Saccharomyces cerevisiae S288C: one gene and its partners. Changing the gene in region 1 together with any one later gene gives a genetic interaction. Each region holds a gene or a part of one and is shown in the gene's direction. Other genes may lie near its edges.

What was found.
Region 2: mutations in FDH1 (region 1) and ICL1 together harm fitness less than expected from each alone (positive genetic interaction), as found in Saccharomyces cerevisiae (one large-scale study listed by BioGRID).
Region 3: mutations in FDH1 (region 1) and NTH2 together harm fitness more than expected from each alone (negative genetic interaction), as found in Saccharomyces cerevisiae (one large-scale study listed by BioGRID).
Region 4: mutations in FDH1 (region 1) and INP51 together harm fitness more than expected from each alone (negative genetic interaction), as found in Saccharomyces cerevisiae (one large-scale study listed by BioGRID).

What each region holds. Positions count from the first base shown.
Region 1 is NC_001147.6:1,071,242-1,074,732, reverse strand, and holds FDH1 (formate dehydrogenase (NAD+)), read left to right. Parts: upstream 1-1,809; coding exon 1,810-2,940; downstream 2,941-3,491. Other genes in the region: YOR389W (uncharacterized protein), read right to left, coding at 1-520. UniProt on the Saccharomyces cerevisiae protein: Catalyzes the NAD(+)-dependent oxidation of formate to carbon dioxide. Formate oxidation is the final step in the methanol oxidation pathway in methylotrophic microorganisms.
Region 2 is NC_001137.3:284,687-288,588, reverse strand, and holds ICL1 (isocitrate lyase 1), read left to right. Parts: upstream 1-1,674; coding exon 1,675-3,348; downstream 3,349-3,902. UniProt on the Saccharomyces cerevisiae protein: Catalyzes the formation of succinate and glyoxylate from isocitrate, a key step of the glyoxylate cycle, which operates as an anaplerotic route for replenishing the tricarboxylic acid cycle.
Region 3 is NC_001134.8:238,435-243,303, reverse strand, and holds NTH2 (alpha,alpha-trehalase NTH2), read left to right. Parts: upstream 1-2,020; coding exon 2,021-4,363; downstream 4,364-4,869. Other genes in the region: COQ1 (trans-hexaprenyltranstransferase), read right to left, coding at 1-495; RER2 (ditrans,polycis-polyprenyl diphosphate synthase), read left to right, coding at 736-1,596.
Region 4 is NC_001141.2:350,075-355,193, reverse strand, and holds INP51 (phosphoinositide 5-phosphatase INP51), read left to right. Parts: upstream 1-1,762; coding exon 1,763-4,603; downstream 4,604-5,119. Other genes in the region: YIL001W (uncharacterized protein), read right to left, coding at 1-1,254; CMI7 (Cmi7p), read right to left, coding at 4,684-4,893. UniProt on the Saccharomyces cerevisiae protein: Controls the cellular levels and subcellular distribution of phosphatidylinositol 4,5-bisphosphate (PtdIns(4,5)P2).

The sequences.
Region 1 (3,491 bases):
GTGAACCTCGATCTTTTTCGTCTGGTGGTGGTGGTGGTGGTGGCCCTTTTGGATGATCACCATGGGTGCCATTGCCGAACCTCCCATGCCTTCTTTCCAAAGATTTTCTCCCATAGGATGGTGACCTCAAGCCGAAAGAGTAGCTGAATTCGTGGTCCATAGCCAGCCATTCGAAGGTAGTTGGCACTTTTGATCCGGCATGGTACATTAAAGTTCCTTTGGGAATTACAGCGGGAAAATAAGATACTCCGACAGGATGTATATCCGATGGAGACTGTCTTAAAGCAGCTCGAATGGAATTAAAGATAGCCGTGCTGTTATCAAAATCAATGTCTCTGACAAACTCATGGTAATTATCCCATCGTATAGAAGGTGTGTCTGTGATTTTGGTTGCAGGTTGCTTGTGTGGTAGGGCAGTTGACACTATGCCATAAGATTCAGATAATTTCCAACAGAAACCAAGCAGCACAATGAGCAGTACGCCTACGGTGGCTGCGGTACCTTGACGGTGGAATCTCATTATTTATGTAAACAATTATAAATGGGCTCTTCGAGAACTGAGGCCATAGAATTTTTTTTTTTTATGAATTTTTTTTATCATCCTAATACTTTTTGTCTTTTAAGAGTGAAGAGCCGCAAGTTTCTTTTTTTTTTTATTTTGTTTTTAATTTTTTTCTTGGCATAGAATTTTTACACCCCGATCTTTTTTTTACATACGTAGTTCATTGCCGCTGATTACTGCATCGTCTCGCTTTGCCCGGAGAACGGTTGTTAACTTGTGTTTAATGTGGTGTAAAGACAATGTCAATGCAAGTGACATGAACACTGTAATACATCACATTGGTAAACAAAGCTTGAATCGTGAACCTTTCTCTAAAAATTTCGATAATATGCATAAAGGTTCTTGAAGCTCCCCTTGTTCAAGTGGTTTATTTTTCTATAGATATTTACACTCCGCAAGTGCAAAAAAAAAGCATTATCGCTAACGATCAAGAGGAACTGAGACCTTATTAGTTGTCTTTGTTGGCGTAACATAAATTTCTTAGGAAAAGAGAAAATTATCTCGAAGGCAAAAATAAACCAAGCCTCGAGTTTAATGGTTTTCTAAAAAACACTTTAAAAACAGATCGCCATAAAAGGAGAAGCTCCGTAGGAGACCGTTTTCGAAACCTATGTAGAAATAAAGGGAAAGCTCCAACGGTTTGGATAAATCTTTAGAAGCATAGAGTTTATACAACATTCAGTACGAAATGTACTCTCGAAACGTTCTCTTTTCACGGTGCTTAGTAGCAGAAAAAAGTGTCGGAAATTACCTATTTTGTCACCACTCGAGGATAGGCTTGAAAGAGAGTTTTAACCCCAACTTTTCTATTTTGCACTTGTTTGGCTATGGTTTAAAACATTCTGTTTGGACCAACAGCCCAAGCGGCTTATCCCTTTTCTTTTTTTCCCTTATAATCGGGAATTTCCTTACTAGGAAGGCACCGATACTAGAACTCCGAATGAAAAAGACATGCCAGTAATAAAACTATTTTGATGTTATGCGGAATATACTATTCTTGGATTATTCACTGTTAACTAAAAGTTGGAGAAATCACTCTGCACTGTCAATCATTGAAAAAAAGAACATATAAAAGGGCACAAAATTGAGTCTTTTTTAATGAGTTCTTGCTGAGGAAAGTTTAGTTAATATATCATTTACGTAAAATATGCATATTCTTGTATTGTGCTTTTTTTATTCATTTTAAGCAGGAACAATTTACAAGTATTGCAACGCTAATCAAATCAAAATAACAGCTGAAAATTAATATGTCGAAGGGAAAGGTTTTGCTGGTTCTTTACGAAGGTGGTAAGCATGCTGAAGAGCAGGAAAAGTTATTGGGGTGTATTGAAAATGAACTTGGTATCAGAAATTTCATTGAAGAACAGGGATACGAGTTGGTTACTACCATTGACAAGGACCCTGAGCCAACCTCAACGGTAGACAGGGAGTTGAAAGACGCTGAAATTGTCATTACTACGCCCTTTTTCCCCGCCTACATCTCGAGAAACAGGATTGCAGAAGCTCCTAACCTGAAGCTCTGTGTAACCGCTGGCGTCGGTTCAGACCATGTCGATTTAGAAGCTGCAAATGAACGGAAAATCACGGTCACCGAAGTTACTGGTTCTAACGTCGTTTCTGTCGCAGAGCACGTTATGGCCACAATTTTGGTTTTGATAAGAAACTATAATGGTGGTCATCAACAAGCAATTAATGGTGAGTGGGATATTGCCGGCGTGGCTAAAAATGAGTATGATCTGGAAGACAAAATAATTTCAACGGTAGGTGCCGGTAGAATTGGATATAGGGTTCTGGAAAGATTGGTCGCATTTAATCCGAAGAAGTTACTGTACTACGACTACCAGGAACTACCTGCGGAAGCAATCAATAGATTGAACGAGGCCAGCAAGCTTTTCAATGGCAGAGGTGATATTGTTCAGAGAGTAGAGAAATTGGAGGATATGGTTGCTCAGTCAGATGTTGTTACCATCAACTGTCCATTGCACAAGGACTCAAGGGGTTTATTCAATAAAAAGCTTATTTCCCACATGAAAGATGGTGCATACTTGGTGAATACCGCTAGAGGTGCTATTTGTGTCGCAGAAGATGTTGCCGAGGCAGTCAAGTCTGGTAAATTGGCTGGCTATGGTGGTGATGTCTGGGATAAGCAACCAGCACCAAAAGACCATCCCTGGAGGACTATGGACAATAAGGACCACGTGGGAAACGCAATGACTGTTCATATCAGTGGCACATCTCTGGATGCTCAAAAGAGGTACGCTCAGGGAGTAAAGAACATCCTAAATAGTTACTTTTCCAAAAAGTTTGATTACCGTCCACAGGATATTATTGTGCAGAATGGTTCTTATGCCACCAGAGCTTATGGACAGAAGAAATAAGAGTGATTATGAGTATTTGTGAGCAGAAGTTTTCCGGTCTCCTTTTGTTCTTGTTTTGGCGTATTCTCCACTATTCGTCCATAGCACATTTATACCTTAGCTAAATATTTTGTAAAGCAAAATTTTCGTTATCTCTTAAAAAATAGAAGAGCGGTTTATTAATATCAAATAATTGAAACTGCTGATATGGTAGCTATATACAAAATCTGCTGTCAAAATTTGGCAGTAAACGATCTTCACGGTAGCGGTTCAAATAAAGAGGAAAAGTCTTTCTCCCTTACTGTTTTTCTGGAATTTGGCTCGTCGTTAATAACAGAACTAAAGATACAGTAAAAGGAGAGATCGCAATCAACTTCATTAATTGTAACAGTAGCATAATCACAACTGATCATCTACACTATAAACAGTTTTTATTTCTAATTATGGGCGCCTGGCCGGCTCAAACATTGTGCTTTTAAGACTCCAAAAGTATCTGCTGCAGAAAAGAGCCATATAATGTTAAGTGTTCAGGGATAGGTTATCGCTTACTACTTCAAACGTTTCGAAGGAAA
Region 2 (3,902 bases), on another chromosome or scaffold:
TGGATGTGTTCTTATTTTTATATGTCTCTGATAGTGGTTCTTTTTTGGGAAATTCATAATGATAGGCACTATGGCCGAGTGGTTAAGGCGACAGACTTGAAATCTGTTGGGCTCTGCCCGCGCTGGTTCAAATCCTGCTGGTGTCGTTTTTTTTATTGTTAGAGGTGCCTTGAAAATGCTACATTCATGAAAAGTAGTTGAACTGCTTGGAGACCATATTTACTGGAATATCTTCATATGGTCGAAGGCCGTTTGATGCTTCCAAACTGAATGTTGGGCTGGAATAAATTTTGTAATAGTAGTGCTTCAAATGAATTATTTTTTTTTCATTTTCAATACGCAAATGTAAATGACGCGTACGCTGGGACTGATAAGGTTTGTATTTAGATTCTTCCTGGCCTAAACATTATGTTAACTAGGTTTGTTTTTAGCGCAATTTCATTAGTTCTCAAGGAGCACTACAGATTCTTATTCACTATGGTTTAAGTTATTTCTAGAAAATATAGTGTGATCATCGTCATATATTTTTCGGAATAAAAATTCACACTCACTTATCGACTATTAATCATATTACTAGTATATTACCATATACTCTGTAAGAGGATGACATAAAGAAAGATAACAAAATTAAGAGACAGCCATCAAAATTTAATGGAAGCTGAAATGCATGATTTTGGAAATGTAAAGGATAATGAGTGAGCATATAAAATGGAAGAAAAAATAATAATAGGATTATGTATAAAATATCGATTCCCTTTTGTAGATTTCGAGATCTTCGAGGAGAACTTCTAGCACGTTGTTTACATATCTAATGTTGTAACACGGCCTTTGTTATCTTGTGAATATATCCATCACCTACGTCGCTTGAGGTTTCGTATCAAAGAAAGAGAGTTCAAACATAATCATACGTGTTTCACTCCAAATTTGATCACAAATGGCCACCCATTATAGCTTGTTATTATTTACTTCTTCTTGAGTTCATTTTATTGAAAGATGCCCGCTGGGAACAAAACATAAATAAAATTCAAGAGTACAATATAGCGTAGCATAGTTGCGAGCAAGGGAAGGCAACACAGTTAAAATGACAATGTTAGAAGGAAAAACTAAATCAAGCTCCCATAGGAAATTTCTTGTGTCAGTAATATGTCTCGAGAAAATAATAATAATTGAATCTATTTATTGAAAAGTAAATATCTCGTAACCCGGATGCTTTGGGCGGTCGGGTTTTGCTACTCGTCATCCGATGAGAAAAACTGTTCCCTTTTGCCCCAGGTTTCCATTCATCCGAGCGATCACTTATCTGACTTCGTCACTTTTTCATTTCATCCGAAACAATCAAAACTGAAGCCAATCACCACAAAATTAACACTCAACGTCATCTTTCACTACCCTTTACAGAAGAAAATATCCATAGTCCGGACTAGCATCCCAGTATGTGACTCAATATTGGTGCAAAAGAGAAAAGCATAAGTCAGTCCAAAGTCCGCCCTTAACCAGGCACATCGGAATTCACAAAACGTTTCTTTATTATATAAAGGAGCTGCTTCACTGGCAAAATTCTTATTATTTGTCTTGGCTTGCTAATTTCATCTTATCCTTTTTTTCTTTTCACACCCAAATACCTAACAATTGAGAGAAAACTCTTAGCATAACATAACAAAAAGTCAACGAAAAATGCCTATCCCCGTTGGAAATACGAAGAACGATTTTGCAGCTTTACAAGCAAAACTAGATGCAGATGCTGCCGAAATTGAGAAATGGTGGTCTGACTCACGTTGGAGTAAGACTAAGAGAAATTATTCAGCCAGAGATATTGCTGTTAGACGCGGGACATTCCCACCAATCGAATACCCATCTTCGGTCATGGCCAGAAAATTATTCAAGGTATTAGAGAAGCATCACAATGAGGGTACAGTCTCTAAAACTTTCGGTGCCCTAGATCCTGTCCAGATTTCTCAAATGGCAAAATACTTAGACACAATCTATATTTCTGGTTGGCAGTGTTCATCAACTGCTTCCACCTCAAATGAACCTGGTCCAGACTTAGCTGATTATCCAATGGACACCGTTCCAAACAAAGTGGAACATTTGTTCAAGGCCCAATTGTTTCACGACAGAAAACAACTAGAGGCACGGTCAAAGGCTAAATCTCAGGAAGAACTCGATGAGATGGGTGCCCCAATTGACTACCTAACACCAATTGTCGCTGATGCAGACGCAGGCCACGGCGGTTTAACCGCAGTCTTCAAATTGACCAAGATGTTCATTGAGCGTGGTGCTGCTGGGATCCACATGGAAGACCAGACATCTACAAATAAGAAATGTGGGCATATGGCAGGAAGATGTGTTATACCCGTTCAGGAACATGTTAACAGATTGGTGACTATTAGAATGTGTGCTGATATCATGCATTCTGACTTAATTGTCGTTGCTAGGACTGATTCAGAAGCAGCCACTTTGATTAGCTCAACCATCGATACCAGAGATCATTATTTCATTGTCGGTGCCACCAATCCAAATATCGAGCCATTTGCCGAAGTTTTAAATGATGCCATCATGAGTGGTGCATCAGGACAAGAACTAGCTGACATTGAACAAAAATGGTGTAGAGACGCTGGACTCAAGTTATTCCATGAAGCCGTCATTGATGAAATTGAAAGATCAGCCCTGTCAAATAAGCAAGAATTGATTAAGAAATTCACCTCTAAAGTGGGTCCATTGACTGAAACATCCCACAGAGAAGCCAAGAAGCTCGCTAAAGAAATTCTTGGCCACGAAATTTTCTTCGACTGGGAGCTACCACGCGTAAGGGAAGGGTTGTACCGTTACAGAGGTGGGACGCAATGTTCTATCATGAGGGCCCGTGCATTTGCTCCATATGCTGATTTGGTATGGATGGAATCTAACTACCCAGACTTCCAACAGGCCAAGGAGTTTGCAGAAGGTGTTAAAGAGAAATTCCCTGACCAATGGCTAGCTTACAACTTGTCTCCATCCTTTAACTGGCCAAAAGCCATGTCCGTTGATGAACAACACACCTTCATCCAAAGGCTGGGTGATCTAGGTTACATCTGGCAATTTATCACATTGGCCGGTTTACACACTAACGCTTTAGCTGTCCATAACTTCTCTCGTGACTTTGCCAAGGATGGGATGAAAGCTTATGCCCAGAATGTTCAGCAGAGGGAAATGGACGATGGTGTTGATGTGTTGAAACATCAAAAATGGTCTGGTGCGGAGTACATCGATGGGTTATTGAAGTTAGCTCAAGGTGGTGTTAGCGCAACAGCTGCTATGGGAACCGGTGTCACAGAAGATCAATTCAAAGAAAATGGCGTAAAGAAATAGGACAAGGATTAACCATTAGAACTGCCGGCATTTCCTGACAAGTATATATATTCGTAATCTCAATGTATATTTTTTTCATATATAAACATGCGTACTTAAAAACTTAAACTCATCGTTACTGCAGTACAATGTTCTCTAATGGCATCTCTCTAATGGTACTCCAACTAAAGTCAACATTCTCTCCGTGCAAGAATGCCTTTCTCTAGTTGCAAAAACGAGTCAATAAACATCTTTGATCGAGTCGCCTCATTTTTGTTGACTCGGTGACTAAAATCAGTGCCATTTCTGTCCATGCCTCGTGCGCGAATGATTGAATCGAACTAATCCCGAACACAATCATAGTATCGTATCGCCCATTAGTGCCGTGAGTGTACGCGAGGCAAAAGGCACCATGGAAAATATTCCCTTAGTCATCTTGGAAATCATTGAGACTGTAAAGGAACTCGCAAACGGGTAACCGATATTTACCCCACCTTTGGTCGAGAAATTCCACCTGTTCGGCAATTTTTGCCGCTCTTCTCAAGAGCAAAAGGCGTTTTTTTTTCTGACACGCC
Region 3 (4,869 bases), on another chromosome or scaffold:
AAAAGTTTCTTCTGGCAAAGGCTCAGGACCTTTTGTCAAGGGATTTAGTGGTTTAATACCGTGAAGAATATGTAGTGGGGATATGCTACTTGCAGGACGTTGAAATAGTTGATTTTGACTAGGTTTAGAGTAAATTGGGTCCTCAGGAACATCCGACTTGTCAATTTTCAAGTGATTTCTTTCTGTCATGGGAATTTCAGAAAGTGCTCTTGACAACAACAACACTAACAAGGGACGTACTTTTTTGCCTTCTGTTTCAAAATAGTAACTAGTAACCTTGTTTAGCACCGGATGGCCAGACCCGATGAGGGCAACTATATTTTTGGCCAATGTGTTCATCTCCTTCGAGACTAATGATATGGGATTATTCCAAAGAATCTTGGGAGTTACCAACTTACTGGCAGCGTTTAAAGCAACTGCAAAGGAGGATTTAAAGCGGCATCTTCGAGATGAAATCAATTTGATGTGATGAGCAGCGCCAGACCTTTGAAACATCGTCCCACTGTACTCAATTCGGACTGAATGGCACACTTCTTGTGTTGTAGAAAATCTCTATAGATTATAATGTGTCTTACTTTAATCTTCTAATCCCCTAACCCTGTTACCCTCGCTCGGGCTTTTTCCGAAGATGCCAACAAAATGCTTAGAATGAAAAAAAAAAAAATTTTCGTAATAATGACAGGTTTCAATAGAACTTAAGCAGTAAAAATAGGGTAAACACAGGTAAAAGACGGTATGGAAACGGATAGTGGTATACCTGGTCATTCATTTGTGTTAAAGTGGACAAAAAACATCTTTTCGCGCACATTGCGTGCATCTAACTGTGTACCTAGACATGTTGGGTTCATCATGGATGGGAACAGGAGATTCGCTAGAAAGAAAGAGATGGACGTAAAGGAGGGCCACGAGGCAGGATTTGTTAGTATGAGTAGAATCTTAGAACTGTGTTATGAAGCAGGAGTCGATACGGCTACCGTGTTTGCCTTTTCAATTGAAAATTTCAAGAGGAGCTCACGGGAAGTTGAATCACTGATGACTTTAGCGCGCGAAAGGATACGACAAATCACAGAACGTGGAGAGCTGGCCTGTAAGTATGGGGTACGCATTAAAATTATCGGCGATCTCTCTTTGTTGGATAAGTCTCTATTAGAAGATGTTCGGGTTGCTGTGGAAACTACAAAGAACAACAAAAGGGCCACGTTAAATATCTGCTTTCCATATACAGGCAGGGAAGAAATCTTGCATGCCATGAAAGAAACAATTGTTCAACATAAGAAGGGCGCCGCTATAGACGAAAGCACGTTAGAATCGCATCTCTACACGGCGGGGGTACCCCCTTTAGATTTATTGATTAGGACAAGTGGCGTTTCCAGATTAAGTGACTTTTTGATATGGCAGGCATCGAGTAAGGGCGTACGCATCGAATTGCTGGATTGTTTATGGCCAGAGTTTGGACCTATACGGATGGCATGGATTTTATTAAAATTTTCGTTTCACAAATCCTTTTTAAACAAAGAGTACAGATTAGAGGAAGGTGATTATGACGAGGAAACCAATGGGGACCCCATCGATTTGAAAGAAAAAAAGTTGAATTAAGAAAGGTCTGCATTTTTTTCCTACCACATGGCATAGATATTTATAGAGTAATGAGCAAGATAAATGAGTTCGCAAAAGAACATTCAAATAATTAGTAATAAATGAGTAGAAATTCACGCATCTTTATAGAGTTTATAATGCAAATCTCCGCGCGGGGTAATTTGAAGTCCAATTTTTCCGAGCGGCGTGCCAGTTCCACTAAATTATATAAAGCGGATAGGAATTGTAATTACCTCCCAAAGTTAATATTCGACTAATGTATATTTCATATGTTATAGCGCTTGTAGGAACTGTTTTCCATTAAAACTAATATTCTTTATTTCTCAATTTTATTTATTTATTTATATTTTTCCTTTGCAAATATATTTGACGCAGGTTCGGATCAGACATTTGGTATATAAGGAGACCTGCATATACTCAAATAATGGTAGATTTTTTACCAAAAGTAACGGAAATAAATCCTCCATCCGAAGGTAATGATGGTGAAGATAACATAAAGCCACTTTCAAGTGGTTCAGAGCAGCGGCCGTTGAAAGAAGAGGGGCAACAAGGTGGTAGAAGACATCACCGGCGGTTGTCCTCTATGCATGAGTATTTTGACCCGTTTTCCAACGCAGAGGTCTATTATGGACCAATAACAGATCCAAGAAAACAGTCAAAAATTCATAGACTAAATAGAACCAGAACTATGAGTGTTTTCAATAAAGTTTCTGACTTCAAAAACGGAATGAAGGATTATACCCTGAAAAGGAGGGGTTCTGAAGACGACAGCTTCCTCAGCAGCCAAGGTAACCGTAGATTTTATATTGATAATGTGGATCTCGCTTTAGATGAGCTGCTCGCTAGTGAGGACACAGACAAGAATCACCAAATTACCATAGAAGACACTGGGCCCAAAGTTATTAAAGTCGGGACGGCCAATTCCAACGGTTTCAAACATGTAAATGTTAGGGGAACATATATGCTTTCTAACTTGTTGCAGGAACTAACCATTGCAAAAAGTTTCGGACGACACCAAATATTTTTGGATGAGGCGCGTATAAATGAAAACCCTGTTGATAGATTATCAAGATTGATAACGACTCAATTTTGGACGAGTTTAACGAGAAGAGTTGATCTTTATAATATTGCAGAAATTGCTAGAGACTCAAAAATAGATACGCCAGGCGCTAAAAATCCAAGAATTTATGTTCCATATAACTGCCCAGAGCAGTACGAATTTTACATTCAGGCATCTCAAATGAACCCGTCCTTAAAACTTGAAGTGGAGTACTTACCAAAAGATATTACAGCAGAGTATGTTAAATCATTAAATGATACACCGGGTTTGTTAGCCCTGGCTATGGAAGAACACGTTAATCCATCTACTGGTGAAAGGTCCCTAGTTGGTTATCCTTATGCGGTACCTGGCGGTAGATTCAATGAATTGTATGGCTGGGATTCATATTTAATGGCACTGGGACTCATAGAAAGTAATAAGGTTGATGTTGCAAGAGGTATGGTGGAGCATTTTATATTCGAAATTGATCACTATAGTAAAATTTTGAATGCTAATAGGAGTTATTATCTTTGCAGATCTCAGCCACCATTCCTAACCGATATGGCTCTGCTCGTATTTGAAAAGATAGGAGGTAAGAATAATCCAAACGCTATTCAGTTGTTAAAACGCGCGTTCAGAGCTGCTATTAAAGAATATAAAGAGGTGTGGATGTCGAGCCCTAGGTTAGATTCTCTGACAGGGCTGTCTTGTTATCATTCTGATGGTATTGGTATCCCTCCGGAAACTGAACCAGATCATTTTGATACTATATTATTACCGTATGCTGAAAAGTACAATGTTACTCTGGAAAAGCTTAGGTACCTTTATAACGAAGGCATGATTAAAGAACCCAAACTGGATGCATTTTTTTTACATGATCGTGCCGTGAGAGAGTCAGGACATGACACGACTTATAGGTTTGAAGGTGTATGTGCATATTTAGCGACAATTGATCTAAACTCCTTGCTCTATAAATATGAGAAAGATATTGCTTTCGTCATTAAGGAGTATTTTGGTAATGAATATAAAGATGAGAATGATGGAACGGTAACCGATTCTGAACACTGGGAGGAGCTAGCTGAACTGAGGAAAACAAGGATTAATAAGTATATGTGGGACGAAGATTCAGGGTTTTTCTTCTATTATAACACGAAACTGAAATGCAGAACGTCTTATGAGTCTGCAACGACTTTTTGGAGTTTGTGGGCTGGTCTTGCAACTGAAGAGCAAGCAAAAATCACAGTAGAAAAAGCTCTTCCTCAGTTAGAAATGCTCGGCGGACTAGTTGCATGCACAGAAAAATCAAGAGGTCCTATTTCTATTGATAGACCGATCAGGCAATGGGATTATCCTTTTGGTTGGGCGCCGCACCAAATATTAGCCTGGAAAGGTTTATCTGCATATGGTTATCAACAAGTAGCTACAAGATTGGCTTATAGGTGGCTGTACATGATTACAAAATCATTTGTTGATTATAACGGAATGGTGGTAGAAAAATATGATGTGACAAGAGGGACTGATCCGCATCGCGTTGATGCGGAATATGGTAATCAAGGTGCTGATTTTAAGGGCGTCGCTACAGAAGGCTTTGGTTGGGTGAACACAAGTTATTTGCTCGGATTGAAATATATGAATAATCATGCAAGAAGGGCTCTCGCTGCTTGTAGTCCACCATTGCCATTTTTCAATAGTTTGAAACCCTCTGAGAAAAAATTGTATTACCTATAATATTGACGAACATATGTAAATAAGATATATGTTATATTCTTCTTTCTATCAATAACCATGAGATTGTGCCTCAGTAATATTTGAGACGATTTAGAGTAAGGTCAAATATTATTATTAATCAAGTTGTGTAAAGGCTCATTTGTGAAGGTTAGAATAGTAATCGATGATTTTCAAGTAAAAGTGTTTGAAGGGCATTTCAGTAACATCTTCAAACTAGGAGTTTGTTGAGACAAAAAAGTCTGATTTTCATAAGATCATAACTTACGCTTTGAAGATCGTTATGAGTACCTTGTAGCTTGCCAGATCTTCTTGCTTATTCTTAAGCTCTTGGGTAGTACTGTATAAGACTGCTTGACATCGGGAACACTATCATTACCGTGTGATAGAATTCTCGTACCAAGCCGGTTCACCTTTGCGTGGTCTAGTGCATAGGAAGAATGACTAATAGAAAGCTTTCATTTCTATTAGTGTCTTAAATGCGAAGAAGGTATGGGAATCTATTACAT
Region 4 (5,119 bases), on another chromosome or scaffold:
AGCTGCAAATTGTTCTAAGCGTTCCACTCCTATTTCCCATGATAAATAGAGTACGTCAAAAACATTGTATTGCTGAATAAACTCTTTTGATTGTGTTATAATTGTAGAAGCGATAGTTTTTAAGCGGTCTTCTAAAAGTATATCGGCAAGTAACAAAACATCGACGGCATACATCCAAGGAATGTCTGTATTATCTGCATATAAGTAGCGGAGAATAATTTCGGCAACCTCAAACTCACAATTGGGTAATGTCAGCTGTGGAATGATACTATTATACTTTCCTGTAACGTGCTTGGCTTTGATATATGTAACTTTCTCCTTGAAGTTGTTTGTGAACATCACCTTGAAATATTCTGCGCGGCTCAAAACAGCCAGGTGACAAGGGTATATTCGAATGGCTCCATTTCGGTTTTTTACCATAAGTTGAACATCCGGATAAGCTGGACAGTTCATCAAGGAAAAAACTCGTCGTTCACTATTAGCAAGATCAACAGTAGATCTAAAGATACAATTGTTCACAAATATTAAAAGTTGACTTCTTGCAACCTCGGTAAACTTATATTGGTAATCTGACATTAACCTCGACTTTTCCGTAGGATCGGCGGTATGCCTTGCTTTGTCTAAAAATTCGGGCAATAACTCAATATCAAATTTACTAGATAGCTCTATAAGTTCTTCATATTGTCCCGGTTCAATTTGGTGCAGGATCGGAATTAAGTAAAGAAATTTCAAAAATATGTCAAATATATCTGGGCGCACTTCAAGAGAAACAATTTCATGCTTTGCCCACTCATTCACCATTTTTTCTGCTAGAATTTCGCTCCTTGCACATAATAAGAACTTATGCGCTGTGAACAGTTTTCCATTCGAAACTCTGAATGTGATATCTCTTTTAAGGAAGCCTTCGTCATTATACATCGATGAGATATGAGTAGCAAAGGGTTGCTTGACATCTACAGCCTTGGATATATCATAACTTAAAAGGGTATCTCTGATAGTATCGGTCAATGCTCCATAAATACATCGAGCTCCTTCATATCTGTCTCTATCACAGACGGCTCCTCTCTGTAGAAGAAGTTTCACGACTGCTTCATGCCCGCAAAGGCTAGCCAGAAAAAGTGGCGAATTGTCAAACTTGTCAACACTATTCACATTTACTCCCGTGGAAATCAATCTATCAACATTGTCCATATCACCAGTGCGGCATGAATAGCACAGTTCTTCAAAATTTTTGTCCATTAATTTATCTGCCATAAATATGCCAAAGGTCGTTTTCAAGTGGTAGTGTACAATTTATGACAAATCTTTCCTGTAGTTTTTTTTTTCTTGTATTTTTGTTTATTGTCAATATGACCATAGAGAATAGTAAGTAAATTGAGTGTCCACATCTACGTAGTCCACGTATTATTATTTTACTTAAAAGGGATGGGTGTTTTAGGAATTCAGAATAAGCGATACCGTTTCTAAATTCTCAATTTAGAAGGTTAGGCAGGAATTGAGTTTCAATATAACCTGTTAATGTCCCTTTTTTTTTATCTTCTATTCTTGACGTCGTTTTATCTCCTTCAGGGTTTCCTGTTTTCCTTCTTGTTTAGCATTGCCTAATTGCTAAACGAATCCCTTTGTTAAACATTTGTAAACCGGAAAGTTGGAACAAATATCTACACAAATCAAATAGCCTTTCTATTTCATTCTAGGATTAAGTCAGCAAATATTGATAAAGTTGTGTTAATCGTATGAATTCGAAGCACATTTCACTACAATGAGACTCTTCATCGGTAGAAGATCACGGTCGATTGTAATATCTTCCAACAACTACTGTTTATCCTTCCAGCGTTTGCGCAGCATACCAGGTGCCAGTTCTCAGCAGCGTCAATTAAGTAAAACTCCTAGCGTAACAATCAAGTCCTACCCTGACACAGATCTTTCAAGTGATAGTAACTATCTCGAAGTCAAAAGTTGCATATTTAATGGATTATTAGGGCTCGTTTGTCTTAATGGTGATATATATGTTGCCGTCATATCTGGTGTTCAGAATGTTGGGTTTCCTCGATGGAAACTGATAGATCATCAAGTTAGGCCTTCGGAGAGCATTTATAAAGTATTGGATGTTGACTTTTACAGCTTAGAAAATGATGTTTTCGACTACCTCCTCTGCGAGAGATCAGAGCAAAACTATGATAAATTGATTCATGAGCATCCTTGCGGCCCCCTGAAAAAACTGTTTAGTGATGGAACATTCTACTATTCTAGAGATTTCGACATCTCTAATATCGTGAAAAACCATGGTTTATCACATAACTTAGAATATACCGTAGATAATCAAGATTTATCATTTATTTGGAATGCTAACTTAGCAAGTGAGGTAATCAACTGGAGAAGCAAGATTTCAAATGAGGAGAAACAACTTTTTGCCAACGCAGGGTTCTTAACATTTGTAATTCGGGGTTATTGCAAGACAGCATTAATAGAAGACGGCCCAAATACAGCCTCTATAACCATTATTTCCAGAATTTCGACTGAGAGCAAGCAGGATACGCTAGAATTGGAGGGTATTAGTGAAGATGGGAGAGTGTCGCTATTTGTTGAGACAGAAATTGTAGTAACCACAGAAAAGTTTATTTTTTCTTATACTCAAGTGAACGGAAGCATTCCTCTTTTTTGGGAATCTGTAGAAAGTCAACTGTTGTATGGAAAAAAAATTAAGGTAACAAAAGATTCTATTGAAGCTCAGGGAGCTTTTGACAGGCATTTTGATAATTTAACCTCAAAGTATGGTGTTGTGAGTATCGTTAATATCATAAAACCTAAAAGCGAATCACAAGAAAAGTTAGCACTGACGTACAAGGATTGTGCTGAATCAAAGGGAATAAAAATAACAAATATAGAATACAGCTCAAGCGTTCTGACAAAGTCTCCCCACAAATTACTTTATTTATTAAAACAGGATATTTACGAGTTTGGAGCGTTTGCCTATGATATCTCTAGGGGCATCTACTTTGCAAAACAAACGGGGGTATTAAGAATAAGCGCATTTGATTCAATTGAAAAACCTAACACAGTTGAAAGGTTAGTGAGCAAGGAGGTACTTGAATTAACCACAAATGAAATTGATGTATTTGAATTGACTTCCCCATTCTTGGACGCACATGATAAGCTATGGTCAGAAAACTATTACTGGCTTGATCGAACGTATACTAAGCACACGAAGAATTCTGGTAAATATACAAAGGTTTATTCGAAGTTATTTGGTTCCCGAGTTAGATTATACGACCCGCTCCATATCTACATCTCTCAGTATTTAAAGCAATTAAGGTCAAAATATACGTTTGAGAAAGACATCTCAATTTTTGCAGGTACATTTAATATAAGTGGTAAAATTCCAAAAGATGATATAAAAGATTGGATATTTCCAAAATCAATGTCCAAGGAGGATGAAATGGCTGATCTTTATGTTATCGGATTAGAAGAAGTGGTAGAACTTACCCCAGGTCATATGCTTGCTACCGATCCATATGTCCGACAATTTTGGGAGAAGAAGATATTAACACTATTAAATGGGCCCGGACGCAAAAAAAAATATATCCGTTTATGGAGTACACAGTTGGGTGGTATTTTACTATTATTATTCATGAATGAAACGGAATATTCCAAGGTAAAGCATATTGAGGGGGATGTTAAAAAAACCGGGTTTGGAGGAATGGCTTCTAATAAAGGAGCTGTCGCGGTTAGTTTTAAATACTCAGCTACAAGATTTTGCGTACTAGTATCTCATTTAGCGGCAGGCTTAGAAAATGTTGAACAAAGGCATAATGATTATAAGACGATTGCGAAAAGCATACGATTTTCTAAAGGATTACGAATAAAGGATCACGATGCAATTATTTGGATGGGCGATTTCAATTACAGAATATTGATGTCAAACGAAGATGTTAGACGAAAAATTGTTTCTAAAGAATATGCCAGCCTATTTGAAAAGGATCAACTTAATCAACAAATGATCGCAGGTGAGTCTTTTCCATATTTCCATGAAATGGCGATTGATTTCCCACCTACCTATAAATTCGACCCAGGAACTAAAAACTACGACACGAGCGAAAAAATGAGAATACCAGCATGGACTGATAGGATTTTAAGTAGGGGAGAAGTACTAGAACAGTTAGAATATAAATGCTGTGAAGATATACTATTTTCCGATCATCGGCCCGTATATGCCATATTTAGGGCTAGAGTGACTGTAGTGGATGAACAAAAAAAGACTACTTTGGGTACGCAAATCTACGAGAAGATTATGGAAAGGCTAGAGGGATTGGATGATGATGAGAAAATTGCAGTTTTGAGTGATGATGCATTTGTTATCGAAAGTTTTGAGGGCAGTGATTCGATAGCTGGCCCTACGCATTCTCCGACACCAATTCCCGAGCCCAAAAGAGGTAGAAAGTTACCACCACCTAGTTCGGATTTAAAAAAATGGTGGATTGGAAGTGGGAAGCAAGTTAAAGTAGTTCTTGACGTAGACCCGGCCGTTTACATGATTAATCCTAAAAGAGATCCCAATCCATTCGTTGAGAACGAAGATGAGCCACTTTTTATAGAAAGGTAAGTAAATGATCATTAGTGAAAAGATTATATATAAATATATTTATTTAGCGTTCCTTCCCTATGCGGCTGTGAGCGTACTCTCTATTTTTGGCTGGAACTTTTTGCCAAATCATTGTTGTCCCTGTGTAGATCTTCTAACTGAACTAACAGAGAGTCCATTTTCTTTTCCATTTCATCCAACTTAAGTTCGACTTCCGAGATTTTCTCTTCTCCTCCTTTTAGTAGGTTCAAAACATCTAAAATATCCTTTGCGCCTGCAGTACTGACATCTTCGGGTGTATCACGAGTCATATTATTGACGACGAGTGAAGTGTTCTGCGATTTCTCTAGAGTAATTGATTCAGTTGCTCTTTCTCAAAATTGTGTGATTAAATATTATTTCTTTGTCAATATTTACCCGGCCTTTTAAATTTGTATCACCACTTGAAGAACATGCTGCAGTTGCCGGTTAGCTTCTAACCACCTTTCGATATAGGAATCGAAATAGGAATCGAAATTTATTTCTAGGCCCAAGGAT